Caenorhabditis elegans: one gene and its partners. The protein of the gene in region 3 interacts with the protein of the main gene of each other region in a pairwise test. Each region holds a gene or a part of one and is shown on either strand. Other genes may lie near its edges.

Region 1 (5,667 bases), about 15 Mb from region 3:
CGATGATGAACTTGTGAACATACAGTGCGTTTTTTTCCACTTCTACGACTTTAAAGGGAGGCGCTTTTTTGCGGAATGGTCTTGACGCGCATTAAGTTTTTATTTTTTGCAGTTCCTGTGTAAAATTCGCGTAGATCACGAGTAGATCACAAAATATTTATCTCATATTTCGTATTCGTATGTCTGCTGGCTTTTCATTGTGATCAACAAATTTATTTTGCTCTACGCGAATTTGACACAGAAATTGCGGAAAATGATGACTTAATGCACGTCAAACCCATTCCGCATAAAAGCGCCTCCCTTTAAAGCCGTAGAAGTGGAAAAAAAATGCACTGCACAGTGCGCGCGCTTGCTATGGGTAGGGCTTCCATGGGAGGCAGGCTCGGGTTCAGGGCCTGCCTCCAACCTGCCCGCCCTTGTAGAATTTCAATTTTAATATTTCGCGACGATAGTATTTAAATTTAAATTTGATTTCTACAAACTTACTCACTTTTACAGCTTGTTACTATAAAATACCTGCGGACTAGTGTTCGTCAACAGTATCGTACCATCTGCTACCCTTTAACATATCCACAGCTGGACAGGTCTCCTGTCATGTAAAAAATCGATCATATGCTACTGTGCGCATATGCGTCTAGTCCCATTCATTATTACCTTTCTTTCCTGCCACGATGACGACTTTTCCAATTCTCAGGCTGCCTGAAAAGTCTCTCAAGATTGCGATTCGCTGTCTGACTATGGAACAAATGTAAGATTTTCCGAAGTTTCCAATGACAAACTGTTATATTTTAGAATCAAGTTTTCTCTGATCTCCGAATCTACAAAAAGGACAGCAGAATCGTTGAATCTTCAGGCTGACCCGTTTTGGATTTGCTTTGGTGAATCGGTTCATATATCGGTTCATGCCAATTTGTGAGTTAAACCATATTGCAACAAGTTCACAGAGTATTTATTGCAGTGTAGAAAATTATCAACAGGATATTCCTTGGAACCCCGTGGAAGTTGATCTGAGAACATTGCTAGATCATTTCCAGAGTGTTCTCCATACAAATAAATTTGAGTATTTCTTTGTTTGACGTGATGATCACGATTGGAAATTAATTTATGAAGCTCTTGACGGCTTGGATATTCCTAAGACCAGTCTACAACGTGATTCTCAAAATGTTTGGCTCCACCAGCTTGCCAATCAATTTTCCAGGCTCTCCCTTGAGATCACTATGCCAAATTTCAAATGGTACCGCCCAATGTTGAGTTCACACCGCCAGAATTTGACCGTTGTCGCTGGTTTAACTGATCTTCTAAGTGTAAACTGTGTACACTTAAAAGTGATGCCCCTTATGAGTACAATGGAAGTGAATTTATTCCTAAAGCATTGGATCAAGGGAGCATTCCAGCCACTTGAATCTGTTGTATTTCCTGTTGGAGCTGATATCGACAATTTGGATGAAGTGTTCAAGGGTGTGAAGCTGGAGGTGACAAGCGTATCGGATTTGGAAACACTGCCGATGCGTTTTCCGGATATCAAGTTTGCTGTAGACATCTACAGATTTGTTGGAACACGGGCCACTGTCGTCATTGAAGGCATTCGTTTGAGTATGTACGTTTGGAAATAATTTGTTCTTGATCTTTTTTCTGATAAGATTCCTGTTATAAATGATTTCATGTATATTTCCAGTGTGTTAGTAAATTTGAAGCCAAGCACGAGATGTAAGCTTTTGATCACTTAAAAAAAACCATCCCAGGAAGCCCCATGAATTTTGACTTTGAAAAAAAAAACAAGTTTGTAGAAGCGTACGTTTGAGAAACACTGGGACTACTAGGAACAACTTCAGATGTAATTTTATCGAAATTGGAATGCTTACAATTAAATATTTAAAAAACGGTCAGACAAAATCGCTCGCTGCGTCCACAGTGACGTCTACATGTATTCTTCCATTACGACAGCTGTGAGGTCACTTCCCGCTCGCCATGTAGAAGAAAATCGATAATGCCTCCCTACTGTGCATTCGGTCTTGCACCATTCATTATTAATTCTCTCCTACTTTGATGACTACCATCGCCTCTTTCCCGATTCTCCAACTACCTGAGAAATCTCTCAAAATAGTGATTCGAAGTCTGAAGTTGTAAGAATTGTAAGAACTCCTTTATTGTCTAATCAAAAAACTGTTTTATTTCAGAATAAAGTTCTCCCTCATTTCAAAATCTACAAAACGGACAGCAGAATCGTTGAATCTTCAGGCTAACCCCTTTTGGCTTAACATTGATGGAAGGGTTTATGAACCACATTCTAACCTTGAACCATAACTAATTCTAACATTCTAACATTGCACCACATTCTAACAAGTTCACTGATTTTTTATTGCAGTATAACGTCTTTCTATCACCGAATTTCTTGGTTCCCTCTGGAAGTTGACCTGAAAACATTTCTGGATCATGTCCAAAGTGTACTCCATACGGATAAACTTGAGTCTTTCGTTGTGCGCAGTGATGATTACGATTGGAAATTAATTTATGAAGCTCTTGACGGCTTGGATATTCCGAAGACCAATATACAATGTGACTCTCAAAATGTCTGGCTGCACAAACTTGTCCATCAGTTTTCCAGACACTCCCTTGAGATCAACCTTAGGAACTTCAAACAGTTCCGCCCGATTTTAAGTTCATACCGCCCGAAATTGACTATTTTTGCTGATTTCACAGATCTTCTAAGTGTAAACTGTGCACACTTGACAGCGCGCAGAAATCTGTGTTCGAAGCAAGCGAATATTCCTAAAACATTGGATAAACGGAGGATTTTATGCACTCGAATCTGTTTTTGTTATAGTATACAGAAACCGTGTGGATGAAATTTTTAAGGGTATAATGCACAAGGATACAAGTGCAAGTGCAGAGGACTTAGACATTCTTCCACGGTGGGTTTTGCCAAGAGCTGACTACGCAAGAGATATCTACAGATGTGATGGAAGACGGGCAACTGTTGTCATTGATACTTTATCTTCGAGAATGCAGGTTTGGATCTCGAGATAATTTGTAATTTTCATTTTAATTATGAGACTTTTCCAATGAATGAATTTGCTGACCAATTTTAATTATGATATACATGCAAAATTTGTAAATCAATGGTGTTCAGGAGAATTTTCTGTGGCAAGTTCACCGAAATTGCTCTGAGCAGAGAGGCAGTAGGTTTGACCCTAGGCTGAGGCAGATAGAATGGCTACAGCTAAGGGTCATCGGAAGACGGTCAGGAGCAAGAACGGAGCTCGGAGGAGCCCAGAGAAATAAAAAAGGGTCTAAGCTGATGGGTGATCTCCTGACAAGACCTTTCAGGAGAGCGCTACTCTCACCCACCCAACGCCCCACAACATGCCCCACACTCCCGCCGCCCTTTTCTGTTGCACACAGCTATAGTGGCGCGAGGTCCCGCGTAGCGTCGGCCGCAGTACACAGAGTGTGATAATGCGCAAGCGCGGGTTTGCGGGAGTGGGGCTGGCGTCGTGTGCCCTTTTTGCGCCTCACCTTCGTAGAAGGCCTACACTTAAATCTTAAATATGAGCCCTACCCGGTCAGTAAACGGACCGTTTCGGACACGGTTTTTGGTGAGTGTGACTAGATTAATTGTTTGTTTTTTTATGGTCCCTTGCTTCCTATTTTATTTTGTAAAAATATTGTGGAAAAATTCGTTTGCCAAACAAATGTGAATGTTGTCATTGCGCGGTTTGCGTAACAGCGTACCGTAGTCGCCAAAACACTGCAGCAGCTAGGGCTCCCATGAGATCCTCGTTAGGAATTTTTTAAAGAATTGGAAAAAGGCAGCAGCAGTGTTCCCAGCAGCAGGATAGGTGTAGTAATGAATGAATCTGGGCAAGAATGCACAACAAATTGTTTCGATTGAATATATGATCGAATCCTCTAGTTTCCATTTTTGTCTGGTGATAGTCGAACGGGCCCTTCGTCCTTGGGGAGCGTCTTGAAGAAAGTCTAGCGTCTTGAAGTGCTCACATCGCTCACTGTGCAGACAGCGACGTCTATCATTCGAAAAATCGACAGCTGTGAGGTCACTTCCCGCTTGGCACGTAGAAAATCGGTAATTCCTCCCTACTGTGCATTCGGTCTTGCACCATTCATTATTATTTCTTTCCTATTTTGATGACTACCATCGCCTCTTTCCCGATTCTCCAACTACCTGAGAAATCTCTCAAAATAGCGATTCAAAGTCTGACTTTGGAAGAATTGTAAGAGCTCCTTTATTGTCCAATCAAAAATTGTTCTATTTCAGAATAAAATTCTCTCTCATTTCAAAATCTACAAAACGGGCAGCAGAATCGTTGAATCTTCAGGCTGATCCCTTTTGTGATTTATATTAACAAATGTGTTTATATAGTTGTTAATGGCAAGACAAAGTAAGTTAAACCACATTATACCAAAATGGCATATTATTTATTGCAGTAGAAGATTTGATATTGGTTGGAACCCTCTGGAAGTTGACCTGAAAACATTTCTGGATCATTTCCAAAGTGTACTACATACGGATAAATTTGAGTATTTCATTGTGCGCAGTGATGATCACGATTGGAAACCAATTTATGAAGCTCTTGACGGCTTGGAAATCCCTAGAACTACCCTACAGTGTGACTCTCAAAATGTTTGGCTTCACAGGCTTGTCTATAAGGTTTCCACTGGCTACCTTGAGATCACTTGACCAGATTTCAAAGGATACCGCTCAATGTTGAGCTCACACTGCCAGAGATTGATTGTTGCCGCCGGGCTCACTGATCTTCTGAGTGTAAACTGTGCACACTTGACAGCGTTCAGAAACCTGTGTTCGAAGCAAGCAAATATATTCTTAACACATTGGATAAACGGAGGATTTTATGCACTCGAATCTGCTTTTGTTATGATACACAGAAACCGTGTGGATGAAATTTTAAAGGGTATAATGCACAAGGATACATGTGCAGACGACTTAGACAATCTTCCACGGATATTTTTGACAGGAGCTCACAGCGCAAGAAATATCTATAGATGTGATGGAAGACGAGCAATTGTTTTAATTGGTCATATGTTTTTGAGAATGCACGTTTTGAAATAAATTGTAATTTCGACTTTAATTATGTTATTTTACCAATGAATGAATTTGCTGGCCAATTTTATTTATCATTAAACAATTGGTTATGGTGCATCTAAAAAAGTTCGGTCAAACATATTGCTGAAAGTTCAGTTTTTTGATTCAACTTGAAGCTTCTGGCACTTGGCCCCTTTGTTCCTTTCTTATTTTGTAAGACCCTGTTTTATTTTGTTTCACAATCAATTGTCAGTGGTGAGTATGGCAAAATCTGAGTATGGCGAATCCGCAAACTGGATACAGACTCGGGGGTATTTAAAGGTGTTTAATTTTCATCTAGACATCGTCAACATGAACAATACCACTGTATTGTTACGTGTTATCGTCCAATTGTAGTCTACCATCAAACTTTTGGAGCAAAAGGTTGCCACTACAATTGCCGAAAAAGAAGAGCAGTTGCATTGTCTATCAAGCTGAACAAATTTTAAGCCTGTTCAATCTGTGCTGAGACAATGTGTAACACCCGACGTGCCTATATGATGCGATGTGGCCATTCGCTATGCTCAATCTGTATCAAGAGTCAGACGTAATAATTTGCTAATATT
Region 2 (3,648 bases), on a different chromosome or scaffold from region 3:
TTAAATTAAGAGATTTTCAGCTAATAATTTTCCATTTTCAGGTCACATTCTACCGCTTCTATCATGTTTTCAAAGACGGTGAACTTGCCGATTTAGTAGATTCCGTGGAGAGTCTAAAAGTCGTCTCAGCAACTTTTGAACATGGCAATTGGTGTGTAATTGCTGAAAAAGTGGCGGCAAATGTCATTCGACCATGAACATTAGGAATCATCTCGTATTGCACATATCCAAAGTTCGTTTGAGAACTAAATCTTATGATCTCGAAAAAAATAAACTGTATTTATGTAAATAAGCGTTAAAATCTTACAAATTAATACAAAACGTTTGAAGTTTATGCAGATTTTATCTTTCGCTTCTAACTAGGTTGCAGGTGGACATGGTGTAACGGACATTTGGAGCTCGAGAGCTCCAATGAGAAACCAATGGGAAAGCATAAAATTGAATACATACTTTTGACAAAACGCTGTTTTAAAATAAACATTTTGACAAAAGAAAAATAAAATAAATTTGAAGCTTCATTTAAACAGCATTTAAACTGGGAATCGATGAATGCTATGATTTTCTAGAGGCTTATGAAATGCGGATGCCTGTTGGAGAATAAGATGTGCTGAATGAAACAATCGAACTAAGCAGCGGAAAGAGTGTTTTTCAAGTCTTGTGAATCGAATAAATTTGAAAAGTTAGTGGGATATACTTTAAACCAATTTAAGACAGTTCGGAGATTAAAATAATTTATTCCACAGTAAAAGTTACTCAAAGAGTTTCATAGCCGATGGTCTTGAAATCGCATTCTTCATGACTGGGGATGGCTTCTTCTCACGTTGCTCCCGCTTCAAATCACCGATGATTCCCCACATATCGAAAACCATTCCATCCGGGAAATCGAACATTGAGAGCTCCGACTCTTTGATGGCTTCACTGAGTTGCAAAAGCGTCTCGCAGTTTGAAGCAGTTTCCCAGATTCTCATGGCCAGCTGATCATCTTGAACTCCCAAGTATTGGTCGAATATCTCATTGAGCTTTCCGCACATCTCAGCTTGGATCATCTGATCTTGAACATCCTCAACAGCAAATCCGCCTTCCGATTTGAAACGAATGGTTCCTTTTGCCAGACCTCCGCCAGTTTTTCCAGTCGTCTTCATGGTTCCTGGATCAGCAGTCTTTGGAGCAATCAATCGAACCACGCATTCCTCGCCGCGACGAACATTTTTCAAAATTCGGGCAACTTGGTAATGCCTTTTCCCGAGCACACATTCTCCATTGACCGCCTCAATGAGTTGACCAACTTGAGTGGCTGGACGCATACGATCAAACACCGAATCTGGGCTTATGACCTTGATAAATGCATTCCCGAGTCCGTTGTCCGTGATTGTCACTCCAAAGTTTTTAGCATCTTTGACGACTCGGAGCTCGGTTGCTTGTCCGCGAATGTGGGCGAAGAGCATATCCTTGAAGTTCAGTGTTCCAGTGAACATGTTCTTCATGTCTGGCTGAAATATTTAGAATAAGAATTTGACTTATTTATGTCAAAACTAACCTTAAAATCATTGACTGTCAGGAAAATGATATCATCTTTTGAAATTGTAAAGCAATCGGCAATTGATTGATACAATTCCTCCATATTGTTCCATTTGTCGATGATTCCAACTGGACTTCCATGAGCCATCTGGCAAGCAAATTTGAGCTGTCTTGCTGCCACCATCAAAGGATTGACTACTGTCATGATAGTAGACGATGATTCCTCGGCAATTGAATCCAATACGGCAGGCTGAATTGGAAGCACTGAACCGTGGTTGGAGCTACGATTGAAAGCTCCACGAGATCTCGAGCGGGTTCTAAAATATTCATGGTAACTTGAGACATAAGACTCGGGCTCATGTAATACATACCTAGAACGGCAGAATGGTGATCCTTGTCCTTGCATTGTGGAGAATGTTAGTAGTTGTACTAGTTGAAGTGAGTTGGTGTTAAATCGATGAATGAATCATTTTATCAAGAAACTGATCTTTTATAGGCATTGATGTGGGCGGAGCTTAGATGCCAACCAAATTAGAGTGCCACGCTGAGGAAGTTCATTAAAAATATAACTTTCGAATTTTATTAATTTTCGTGTTTTTCTTCATTTTGTTTTAAAACTGTAACACGTATAACTAAAGTAAATCGCAAACAATTCTCTCGATTTTTGCTCAATATCGAGGCAATTTCCAGATCTTAACACGAGTTAATTGTTCAACTACCGTACCCGTAAGACTTGCCCTAAAAATATTGGCTGCGGACTCTTCATGAGCTCAAAAAGGATTATGTGCTCATCGGAGGAGCCGAGCGATTTAAAATTGATATCTAGTTTTTTGTGATTTTAACTATTTGAAATCATTTATTTGAAGCAGTTCTTTTTATCCTGGGTTTCTTTTGTCAAACTTTTCCGAGCAGGAGCCCCGTCGACTTTTGAATAGTGATGGTTGGGAATGTATCTTGTGAAACTGAAATATCAGCCCAAGTAGCGACAAAAAAAACCAGAAGTATGAATACTCTCTATGAATACTGATAGACCTGATAATACGCTTTGTGACTATACTTCTGGCTGGCTCCTGGGCCATAACTATGGTGCAGGAAATTCTTATATTGAAACCCAATGGGAATTTTTTAATGAAAAATCTTTATTAAAAATCAATCCTCTTGAGTTCGATCAATTTTATTTTTTCTTTCCTTTTTTCCTTTCCCTTCATTCTCATCCTCATCTTTCGAGAAGAGATCTATTGTTGCTCCTGTCCACTTTTTCAGAATTTTCTGAGATCCTCCAGTGCTTGGTTGAGTGGGTTGGCTGAAAATATAATCATTTTCAGAAAATTCAAACTTAAAACATACACATCAGGAGTAAGAATATCCATATTACTCTCCCGCAACACTTTCTCTACGTCTTCATCTCTCGCCTTTCTGATTTGAGCAGCAACTACATCCGTTGATCCCATTGAGCCATTACTTGTCTTACTTGCCACTTCATTCAATGCTCCTGCGATATTGTTATTTTGATCTCGATTGTTGAAAAAGTCGAATTCTTTCTTATCACTGTTCTTCTTATCATTCACTTTTCTGGTTACTTGCATAAGAAGACCTACATTTGGCTCTTGAATGCGGAGACGTTCGGCGAGTTGCTGGAGCTGAAATATGAATAGAAGTGAGCTTCACAATTCACGCTCACCCCTCTCGACCGGAAGGCGCCTATTGCAAGAGGATGGCGATTACGTGATCATCAATGATCATTACGCCTCGGTCGGATGAAATATTTAGGCAGGGCCCGAAAAGGAAGATACGTTGAACCTGCACTAACAATCTGATCTAATGAACACAAACCTTCCACTCAGTGAACTTCAGCCATCGTACATTCCTTCGAAACCCGCAATTCATATATAACGTCATAAGCATTGTAAGGAGTGTCATGCATGTACAAGCAACAATCATCCATAAGTTTGGGCTGCATATTGCGTAACTGAAAAAAGAGAAGTTTGATAGAAGTTTACACTCTTTAAATTTTCTCACAAAAGCTTCTAATTCTTAAGAATATGGAACAAATCCTGAGAAGAAAGCAACAGCTTTGTCTCAAGGCACACATGCCTACCTTTCGCCTACTACAAAAGAGAGCTTTTGCGG
Region 3 (2,906 bases):
AACGACGTGCTCTCCAGCCAATCAAGAGATTCCAACAGAAGAAGCAATAGATTTAGTAGTTTTAGTGCAAATTGCACTGTGATTTTTTAAAACTTGAACAAATAAACATTTCATAATTCAACTCATTTTTCTCAACTCAACATCAACTTAGAAATGTTATGTGTGAAGCAGTAACAGATTTTTAAAATTGAACTCATGGTGAATGCTTTCAACATTCTCCAAAACTTGCATTGAATGGTGTGGAGCATTTCCAAAAGTTTAACAAAATCACCCGATGTTTTTGCATCCAAGACCAATTTTCAATAAGAAAAATAATCGATGTTTGATTACAAGTATGGTGTTCTTTTTTCAAAATTTTGAACATAAATTTTATTTTCAATCAAAGTGGAACATGAAAAGAAAAGAAAAAAGTCATTAAAACATCAGAAAATTAAGCAACTTCTACGGCACCTCCCTCAGCAGCATCCTGTTCGTCCGTATTGATTCCGAAAATCTCTCTGAGTTCAGCTGTCGTTTTGCCCTTTGCCATGTTGGATACAGTCTTACAACCATAGTACATAAGACCCTTGATGTCAAGGAAGTTTGACGCCAGAATCAAATCGAACAGAGCTTCATCCTCAATTTTCAAGAACTTTTGATCCCATTCTGGAATGGTGAGGGTCTTGAGAACATTCATATTGTCCTCTGGAATTGCATCGGCGTTGTGCTTCTCACACCATTCAGCGACCTTCTCCATAGTCTTTCCATTCACATTAGTAACTGGAATTGGATCACGGGTCTCAATGTTTTCAATGGTATAACCGAGATTCTCAATGAGATTGCTGAGAGTCTTCGATTGTTGGACGGCTTTCTCGCTCATTTTTGTCACGACTCCATCGTTTGAAATGATCTTGTAAAAGATTTGGGCGGCTGGAGCATCGGAAACTGGAGCAGACATGGTGATGAGTATGTCGATTCTGAAAATTGAATTCTTAGATTGCGAGATGACTGGAAAATAGAAAATAGGTAAAGGTATCGATGGCAAACCTAACTGACTAGATTTAAACTAAAATTAAATGAGATTTTGGAAGATTATCGGAGTAAAAAAAAATTTTGACGTCACCTACAACAAGAGTGTAATAAGGTTGTAAGGCAGGCAAAAAAGGATAGAAACAGGAAAAGCAGATAGAAAACACCAGATCCAAGACAAGGAAAATTGCATAATGAATGGGTGAGTACAGACAATGCACACCGTTCTGTCAGACGCGCCGTTGAAAATGAATCGATAAGTTGCACAATGTGTTATAGAGTCCCCTCAGCCGAGCTAAAGACGAAGAACAGCTGCAAATATAGTAGTGTGTATGTACATTTTCCAATCAATAACTGACTTACCGCGCGTCCGATGGGTTACATTTGCAGCGTTCTCGTCGTTTAGCGAAAACAGTCTGTTCGATGGTCATTCTGTCGTTTGGCTCTCATCGCGAGCAGTCGCAATTTATTTTCTCTTACTTTTCTTTTTTCTTATGTTTTTTCCTCGTTTTCTACAGTCCTGGTCAAAAAGATATTCCTTTTATTTAGCAGTTTTGATAATTTTGAAATTTTTCAAATGGTTATAACTCTACTAAAAATGCAATTTTTCGTGAAGAACGAATGTTGAAAATATATGTGAACCAAAATTCAATTCTTTCTCGGTAGTTTCCCATTTTTCATTCTATCATTCCGCAATTTTACTCTCTTAAACTTCATCTGCACTCTTCAGCATATCTATATTGATTTATATCTTTCCAGAAATCACCCTAACTTTCAAAAATGTCTGCTGAAGCCGCCGCCGTCGAAGTTCAAGCCAACGAGGCTCCAATTGTCGCCCCAATCATGTACAAGGTCGAATCAAGTGATGGACAAGTCTATGAAATCAGTGATGAAGCAGTAAAGCAGTCGAACACCCTCTCCAATCTGATTTCTACATGTGTTGCCAATGATGTTGCTTCAATGGATCCAATTCCAATTACCAATGTCACCGGAAACATCATGAAGATGGTCATTGAGTGGTGTGAGAAACACAAAGGAGAAACACTTCCAGTTGAAGATGACAGTGTTCCCAAGAACATCACTGTTCCAGAATGGGATACCAACTTCTTGAAAATCGACAACGACGTGCTCTTCGACTTGATTGTTGCCTCCAACTTCCTTGATGTGCCTGGATTGATGAGCTATGCATGCAAGATGGTCGCCAACATGGCTATCGGAAAGTCCCCTGATGAGATGAGAGTTCTCTTTGCAATTCCAACTGATGAGGAGGATGAAGCTGCCGAGAAGGCTGCAAAGGAGAAGGCTGAAGCTGAGAAAAAGGCAATCACAGAGAAGGACGCAGCTGAACCATCAACTTCCAAGTAACTCCCACGTTCTAAATTTTCCGAGTTTTTGATCAAATAAATTCATTTCGCTGTCATTAAACGTTTTTAATCAAAAGAATTGTACGTACAGAAAAAAGTGTTGTCCTAAAATGATAAATTATTGTGTGAGGCTCGAGGCTCAAGGTGGTTCCAAAATACAAATTTATAGAACAAGACGTTTTGAAAATTTCTCGAAAATTTTTAATCATAGTTCACAGGAAGGTGCTGGCTTCCATGGTAGGCAGGGGCGGTTTCAGGGCCTGACGCCTGCCCGAAACCTGCCCGCCTTATGCCGGCCTTTCGCATAGGCGCGGATTGAGGCGAGAGGCGGGCGGAGGTCGCATTAAGGTCAGACAGGCAGGTGTTAAACGCCTATATAGAAGCCCTAGTCCGCTCCTAATTTAAATATTTTTCCGTAGTCGGCCGGGAAATTGTGGTGTTATTTAGTTATTTTTTGGATCAGAATTTTTGGATGTGCAGCAAATTTGCTGTAATAAAATTTGCGAAGAAGCTTCCCAAATCAAAAAATTTTCG

Evidence for each region.
Region 1: the proteins of skr-7 (region 3) and F55C9.11 interact in a two-hybrid assay, tested with the Caenorhabditis elegans proteins (one large-scale study listed by BioGRID).
Region 2: the proteins of skr-7 (region 3) and gipc-1 interact in a two-hybrid assay, tested with the Caenorhabditis elegans proteins (one large-scale study listed by BioGRID).

Annotation. Positions count from the first base shown.
Region 1 is NC_003283.11:19,306,063-19,311,729, reverse strand, and holds F55C9.11 (F-box domain-containing protein), read left to right. Parts: upstream 1-2,038; 5' UTR 2,039-2,042; coding exon of another isoform or gene 2,043-2,128; 5' UTR 2,129-2,132; intron 2,133-2,173; coding exon of another isoform or gene 2,174-2,267; 5' UTR 2,268-2,361; coding exon of another isoform or gene 2,362-3,023; 5' UTR 3,024-4,146; coding exon 4,147-4,232; intron 4,233-4,276; coding exon 4,277-4,364; 3' UTR 4,365-4,400; intron 4,401-4,446; 3' UTR 4,447-4,723; coding exon of another isoform or gene 4,724-5,089; 3' UTR 5,090-5,136; downstream 5,137-5,667. Other genes in the region: C43D7.8 (F-box domain-containing protein), read left to right, coding at 672-748, 793-912, 959-1,076; F55C9.15 (F-box associated domain-containing protein), read left to right, coding at 4,724-5,089.
Region 2 is NC_003281.10:4,869,116-4,872,763, reverse strand, and holds gipc-1 (PDZ domain-containing protein), read right to left. Parts: upstream 1,987-3,648; 5' UTR 1,925-1,986; coding exon 1,890-1,924; intron 1,836-1,889; coding exon 1,538-1,835; intron 1,491-1,537; coding exon 750-1,490; 3' UTR 503-749; downstream 1-502. Other genes in the region: C35D10.12 (Methyltransferase type 11 domain-containing protein), read left to right, coding at 42-197; C35D10.3 (uncharacterized protein), read right to left, coding at 2,668-2,821, 2,866-3,158, 3,352-3,487.
Region 3 is NC_003283.11:4,420,639-4,423,544, forward strand, and holds skr-7 (Skp1-related protein), read left to right. Parts: upstream 1-1,788; coding exon 1,789-2,373; downstream 2,374-2,906. Other genes in the region: Y47D7A.2 (Extensin-like), read left to right, coding at 1-50; skr-14 (Skp1-related protein), read right to left, coding at 431-937.